2 linked regions of the Nothobranchius furzeri genome follow. The protein of the gene in region 2 purifies or fractionates together with the protein of the main gene of each other region. This does not show direct contact. Links are inferred from orthologs where the notes say so. Each region holds a gene or a part of one and is shown on either strand. Other genes may lie near its edges.

Region 1 (4,249 bases), on a different chromosome or scaffold from region 2:
CACCGTCTGCGAGGCACCGGTCCCACTTTTTACCGAGCTCCTTCTCAGACATCCTGACTTAGCTTCGCTCCAGGTATGTGACTCTGGTGCTGCGTTTAGGTCACCCGGAAAATATTCAAGTTGTGAAAATCAAATTTAGAATAACAAGAAAATTGCGGTGCAGTTCCCATTATTTCACCACGTCATTTATGAAATCTTATCAAATAATCGACAATGATAAAAATACTTTGAAGCCTTGAAATAAATTAACGTTTTTTGGTGCTTTTTCCCACTTAAATGTTATTGGAGCGATGTTTTTCCAAACGTCTCATTGTCACAATCAGAAGAGCTTAAAATCACCACCTAGCGGTGAAACCCTGAATTAAAAAATAAGGTTTTTGTGTTTTATCAACAAAAACTTCACCATAAGGTAATATGACTTAGTTTTCAGAACGAGTTTTATTTTACACAAATAATTACACTTCCATAAACATGTTCACTTAACCAACAGTAATTTCCTGAGATGACATTTACAGTTCATGACAAAATAACAGTGCACAAGTACATAACACTCAAAAAAGTAATGCTTACAAAATGTTACCGTGAGAAAGATGTGCAGTCAACTATTACACATTTACTCTGCAATCCAATCTAAAAATTCAGAGTAAAAACTGGTATTTATCATGTTGTAAGCATAACAATCAACTATGGCAGACAAAATGTACATTTATAAATTTACAATCTCTTTAAAAAACTGCCCACTGTCATTCCAGCGCAGGCATTTTGTTTTGTGAAACAGCCAATAGTCATTTTCTTGGCGATGAACACAACATCACACGTGGTGTACAAGTTAGCGTTTAAAACAGAGGCATTTTACTTTTTGGGCATTTTACTTTTTTATGTTCTTAAAAGATTAAACTCATCCTTTCTCCATTCTAAACAAAAATAAATCTCCCTCAGCTTCACTTCAGCATTTAGATAAATATAAAATAAACCAGTGATACCCAAAGCACCTCAGTCAAACTCCGTTCGTTTATGAGGAATTCACTCCCAACATTGCTGCAGTGAAAACACAACTACTGTACATAAAGATATCTATCATAATGATATACCCACTGGTAGTTAAATGCTTCTGATGGCTTTAATGTTGAATTTAAATTACTTTTACAAACATTATTCTGCAATCTAGGTTGTGCTTAAAAAAGAAAAAGCTCTTCCTGTTTGGTTGGTTGTTCCACCTGATCAGTTCAGACTGCAGCTGCTCGGGTCACTCATTGGTCACTGCCTGAGGGCACTGCTGCTGCTGGTGTTGATGGCTGGTGGCTCTCTTCATTTCCCATCTTCACAGATGCCTGGCTGATGGCCAGAAGGTCCCGAAGCTCCTTGTTCTCAATCTGAAAGAGCCCGGATAACCAAACGTAACCTCGTGTAGATTACTCGTTATCACCAGTCCATGCAAGATGGTTGTATCTATGCGAGTTTGGTTTATTGAATCAACATTTTAACCAGAATGAGTCAAGAAAGTCATCTCAAAGAGTTTCTAAGTTGATCTCAGGTGTGTCCAGATATTTTCATTCATAATCTAATGCTGCACCATACGCTCCAGGAAACTAGCAAACAAGAAAACCTGAGAAACTCCAACAGTTTTTATGCTAGCAGCACTAAGCCTTGTGTGTGTTTGTAGACTCATGCTAATTTCCTGAGCTGTTTCAAAGCCTTAGAGTCACTGATTTTGCCTTTTAAAAGCTTAATGATAACTCCTGACATCACGACTGCCATTCCAGTCCTTACCTCCAGTTGAGCAAGCCTCTCTTGAACAGAGCAGAAGTGCTGATCGTCCACCTGCATGGCTCTCCTCATCACTTGGCCCATCTCACATATCCGTTCCACCTGGCTTTGCACTTCCTGGATAAGATTCAGAAAGCATAACTTCAAACCCCTTTTTCTGTCAGAAAATTACATGACTGGGAATGTTCACAGCACAATGAAAGTTGGTGTACTTTGACGTAGTCTTGGTGTAGTCTGAGCACTGGTTTCGTGTCCAGCTCCTTTTTTGCCATCATCAGCTGGAGCATCTGCTTGCGATATCGACCCATGATCAGTTCTAGTGTGTACTGGTGCTCTTCAAGGGACAGCCATAGTTCTGCGGAAACAGTGGCGAAGACAAAAATTACAGACAAACACATGAACTCTAAAAATACCTAAAAACATTGTAAGGATTTTACCTTTATTCTCTTGCTGCAATTCCTTGATTTGAGTGTTTTCTTGAGTCAGAAGGATGTGAGGCTTGTATTTTGTGAGTTCCCGAATCTCTGAGCTGTCTTCTGTGTGCTAAAAGGCAGCAACAAGGAAAATGTCATAAGTAAAAAATACATTTTAAGCACTAGTTGGATGACTGTTCCACCTCTTGATAAATAATTCCCATTATTTAAATATGCTTTTAAAGGCTGGTGTACTTTTTTGGACGATCAGACCTTCTATCTCAAAATGTCTAAGTACTTGAGTAGAGTTAGAGAAGAGTGTCATTTTAAGCTTACCTGCAACCCCAAATCCTTAATGCATGGCTTAAGTCAGCCTTCTAATATAAATATACTTTCACCCAACGTTTATGTGTGAGAGACCATCTTACCTTGTCTGGAAGAGCATTGCCCACCTCCCTCATGCCCTGCACTCTCTGGCTGAGGGCCCCGGATTGCTCGATCAGTCCCTCAGCAGCCGTATCGTGCTCTTTCAGCCTTTCCAGGAGGGTCCTAGCATCCCCCAACACTTTTTCAAAAGTACAGGCCATTAGCTATTAAGTGACTAGTCGTATTTGTAAACTAAAGCTTCCAAATACCAGTTTGATCAGGCGAAAATTTGCCCGTACTGTAGCTTACGCTGGCTATGCTGTTCAAACGCACAAAAATGTTTTACAAACAAATATTCATATCTCAGCGGACCCTCCTAGATCATTTCTCAAGAGACAGATGACTAATTAAACCAGGACAATGTATAACAAAAGAAATCCCTCTTTTTGTTGGCAACTTCGTATTCGAGAGGAAAAAATATAGCGTCACTTCCGGGATTGTACCGTAAACAAGTATCTTGCCGTCAAACGTATCATCGTAGACGTAAAAATGTTTACGAATCCTTTGGTTTTCTCATTCTCGGCAAGGAAACCGTGTGCATAGACATTTTCTGAATAATTTCATTATCCAACTATCTTCATGAGTGTCTGGTGCGCAGACCTGTGGGAAAAGCCGTTTTAACATTTAATAGCATACTTTACTGCATATTAAGCATTTAATGCCTTTTAAACCTCGGTTGAGCCCAGGTTGAGCCCGATTATTTACTTCAAAACAACTGAACATCATTTCCCATGAACCCATGCGTGACAACAGAGCCAGCTGCAGAGGCTTCCCTAGCCTTCGTCAAATATCGCGGGAGCTGTCTCCCTAATCACTACGTAATGTGCCGTGCTGCTTCTAGCGGCGCTGGTGACAGTGCTAAAAGCTGTTGGGGTGAGTTTTATATTATTTTTCTCTGCTTGGTAAACCGTTGAGATATATTTAAATGTCTTATTTCGCATTTAATTTTTTTATAATTCAGGCGGGGTCACCAAAGCGAACGGGCGGTGTACAGCAGAAGTCGGGCCTGGGTGGGGATGCCTTGTTTTTTCTCGGGCCACAGCAGCGTGCTCTGGCTAACGAGCTAACGTTCCAAACGACCGAGCGACGGTTAAATAGCAAGCTGGCGTTTCTTTGACGTGTCTAAAGTACCGAAGACATGCTACTTTGGCCATTCTAACACTTAAGACGTTTCTAGTTGGTGCACAACTTTTGTAGACGCGAGCTTTGTAGGTAGTTTCTTTGTTTTCCATCATCCTCGTGCCGTTAGCCGCGGTGTTTTCTTCGTTTACCCTCGATCTGTTAGGAAATCAAACACGTTTTAGCGCATGTGTGTTGTATCGGACTTGATTAGCCGTCTGACAAATTTCGGATTTAAAATTGGTTTTGATCTAATTCCCATTTTGGTTTTTGCATTTGTTTCAGCTGGATGATGTCGCAAATGTGCCAACCTACTTCTTAACGATACACCTTAAACTGGACCTTTACGTTTATTCTTAAGTTTTCCAAATAATTACAAAAAACAATTTATACGACGTACTTCTCTTGAAAGAAAGCATCTTTGTTTATATTTTTTCGAAAGTATCAATATACCATTTATTAAAATCAAATGAAGAATACGTGGCATTGTAGCCTGAGCAACGTTTCTTTAGAAGTCTGAGGCG
Region 2 (3,327 bases):
ATAACACAATTCTCAACATTAAGTTTGCTTGTTTTGGGCAATTGATACTTCTGTTCTCAATACAATCTAATATTATGGAGCACAATAATTTAAATTCACATTTAAATAAATGTATTTTTTATGTCTTCGCCTTGCTGTGTCAGTGTAATTACAACTGGCCAGAGAAATCCAAATATAACTAGACTTTTTACAAGAATGAAGAATAACCAAAAACACAATTCAAGAAGTCATCTTTATTATTCTAGTAGGTTATTATAGAGTCTGAAGCTAAAAGGAAGCAGGTGAGTTGATGAACACTCCATCTTTTCTATAAACCAAGCCATCTGACTGCATGAGAAGGGATTTTCCTAAAACATACACAGGTCAAAAAAAACTGAAGGTTTACATGCAATTTAAAAATAAACAACAAAAAAACTATCAATATCGTGAAATCGTATTAATCTTTTTGACATATTTAACATTTCTTTAACTGTACAAAAGTGCAAACAAATCACATTCAAATCTCAAAAACCATGGTCTGCAGTAGCAAATTAGTCTTGGACTTTGGTGCCGTCAACCCAGCTCCATATGTACAGGAGGAGGAGCCGAGACATCCAGGATGTTCTATTTTGTCATTTCAGATACAATAAATATTTAAGTGATCATGGCACACACCTTTTGGTCCGTTTATAGACACATTTGCTTTTGCGAAATGCTTTAACTAGATTGGATAAACACAACGTGCAACACTGCAGCCTCTCAGGCCTCCATCACGTTGTTTTCAGTTCAAAGTCAGATAGGTTGGTGGTTCTGGACAGGACCGGACCGGACCGTGCGCGGGTCGAGACTGCAGGTTTACAAGAAGTAGTCTGGGGTGCGGCGAGTTACATGGGGCTCTCCTCTGCGAGGCGCTGGATCAAACTGCAAGCTGAGGAGGAACATCAGGAAGAAAAAAAATCACAACTTATTCTAAGATTTCTTTGTCCACTCGTGATGAAATTCGCCTGCTTACAAAGAGTATTTGAGGGTGTCGTCTAGCTCCATGATGGCTGCCTGGTTTCCACAGCGATAGCAGTAGTTAGGAGCACTAAAAATGGTCACCACGTTCCTCTCATGGCACCAGTTGTAGCCCTGAGGTAAGCAGATGTAATATTAACACGCATCTGAACTTAGCGGCACTGCTTCTTTGTTTTTAATCATCTTTGGACACAAAGACAAACCTCCATGACCAGCTGATGGGCGCGGGACACCAGCGTGAGGCGGTTGGCGTGGTTGAACGTTTCAGAGATGTCCTGACCAAATGTGTAGCCAGCTCCTCGGGGAGAGATGCCCCAGCCGCCGCGGTCGTCGGGGTCTGACCACAGCAGGTCGCACATGGGACCCTGCGTGACAACGAGAATGGTCACAAACGTTTTTATCTTTATTGTTTCGTTGCTGATCTGCACCACATTTAACGTCTTTCTTTACCTCGTGCGGCACTTCCTGTAAACGATCCAGAGCTCTGATGTGATCCAGCGTGTCTATAGACGGTGATAAGCCCCCGTGGAGGCAGAAAATCTGAGGAAAAAAAATCGATAATTATAACAAATTATGATGCTTTTCAAAGAAACGTCAAGTTCGGTCTTTTTTATTACGCTCCTCTCACCTGAGAGTCTACCAGCGCAGTGAGGGGGAGGTAATCGAACAAGTCTGTGAAGTATTTCCAAACGTTTGCGTTTCCGTATTTCCTTAAGCACTCGTCGTAGAAGCCGTAGACTTGTGTGATCTGTCTGCTCTCGTGGTTCCCTCTGAGGATCGTGATGCGCTCCCGGAAGCGAACCTGAAACACAAACATCTGTTTACGTCGCGTTTTTCACCCCAAAGAGGAAAAAAAAACTGTTTTAAATGTCTGACAAAGTCACCTTAAGAGCTACAAGTAATGTGACGGTTTCTACAGAGTAGTACCCTCGGTCCACATAGTCCCCCATGAACAGGTAGTTTGTGTCCGGCGATTTCCCACCGATCTTGAACAGCTCCATGAGGTCGTGGAACTGGCCGTGCACGTCGCCACACACGGTCACTGGACATCTCACCTCCTGGACGTTGGACTCTTTGGTCAGGATCTCCTTTGCCTGCAGAAGGAAAGTTGATTAGAGAATTAAAACTTGCACAAGCCAGGCAAAGGCCACCATTTTCTTTTTGTCTTCATTCAGGCACAGCCCACTTCCTGCTAGCGCTTACAACGGCCTCCATCACGTCTCATCAGGATGCTGCACACGGAGCGGGGCTGATAGCATTTTGATGCAGCGACTAGCTTCCTGTGGGGCGACCCTGTGGTGCCCGGACGGGCAGCTCTGGCTGCACGGCAACGTTTCTAAAAATCCATAAATGTGATCCTCCGAAGATTAAAAGGCAAGTGCAGAATAAATTTTAGTGGATTTGCATAAAAGTTTTGGTTCACTTTGATGTTAATTCACATCGGATCAGACAAATTAGATTAACGTGTTAAATTCAGAAAAATAAATGTGATTCTGGATTATTAAAGCATTTTATTTTTACCCATAAATCATCAGAGGGGCCTGACTGGCTGCTGCAGAGCATGACTCAGCATGTGGCCTACAGCCAGAGCCAGAGGAAGTCACCATTAAAATAAGACAGGATTTACCACCAGTTGGCTTGATTGGTAACCTCCAGCTGTGACTGCTTTTATGTTTCCGATTGTTTTACCTTCATGGTAAATCACCCGGAATTTGGCCGTTTGCTGAGTATTTTTGTGAGCTGTGTGACCGTGGATCCCTTCACAAACCAGAGAACGAGTGTGTTCCTTGGCTGGTGGCCAGCTGATGGGATAGAAACCCAGACGGGCCAGGATGGCGCTGCAGCGTTGCACAACGTTGACCTACATTGCATCCAAACTCCACGTGTCCCGACCGGCGTGCGGCAGGAGGCTTCGGGGGCCACACTGAGCCACAAATCTCTAAAGCAAACAGAGGCACTAAGCCAGAGAAGAATATTCTAGGTGTCTGGATGAAAGTGGAACACAAACACACAGGACCCATCTTTGAATGGATGAGGCGACAGGAGATAAAGTGGATCTGTCTGGGTTCCTCATCCTAGTCAAACCGTAGACATATCTACGTCTACGAGTTCACGTCGGTGTCATGGCTCATGATGCCGTCAGCACGAAATGGAACATTAGAAAGGGATCTTTGACGCTGCCGTAGTCATGAAGACGAGCTTTAATTAAGTCCAACGTATCAGGTTCTGAGCCAAACTCGTCCATCAACACCTGCTGGAAACCCTCGGGTCGTTTCAGCTTACGGAGAAATCAGGTGATGTTCAAAAAGAGCAGAAACGATACATGTACTC

What was found. Proteins that work in one complex are often made in the same cells at the same time.
Region 1: the proteins of ppp2cab (region 2) and sike1 purify together in Homo sapiens (affinity purification with mass spectrometry; 4 studies listed by BioGRID and IntAct, with this or other methods). This does not show direct contact. The link is inferred for Nothobranchius furzeri from reciprocal best matches to the Homo sapiens genes PPP2CA and SIKE1.

Annotation. Positions count from the first base shown.
Region 1 is NC_091755.1:53,138,405-53,142,653, reverse strand, and holds sike1 (suppressor of IKBKE 1), read right to left. Parts: upstream 2,913-4,249; 5' UTR 2,768-2,912; coding exon 2,609-2,767; intron 2,311-2,608; coding exon 2,205-2,310; intron 2,123-2,204; coding exon 1,980-2,122; intron 1,885-1,979; coding exon 1,771-1,884; intron 1,374-1,770; coding exon 1,251-1,373; 3' UTR 420-1,250; downstream 1-419. Other genes in the region: micos10 (MICOS complex subunit MIC10), read right to left, coding at 1-52.
Region 2 is NC_091750.1:60,013,391-60,016,717, forward strand, and holds the end of ppp2cab (serine/threonine-protein phosphatase 2A catalytic subunit alpha isoform), read right to left. Parts: intron 2,091-3,327; coding exon 1,881-2,090; intron 1,799-1,880; coding exon 1,625-1,798; intron 1,537-1,624; coding exon 1,447-1,536; intron 1,362-1,446; coding exon 1,200-1,361; intron 1,111-1,199; coding exon 992-1,110; intron 908-991; coding exon 835-907; 3' UTR 608-834; downstream 1-607. UniProt on the Homo sapiens protein: Catalytic subunit of protein phosphatase 2A (PP2A), a serine/threonine phosphatase involved in the regulation of a wide variety of enzymes, signal transduction pathways, and cellular events.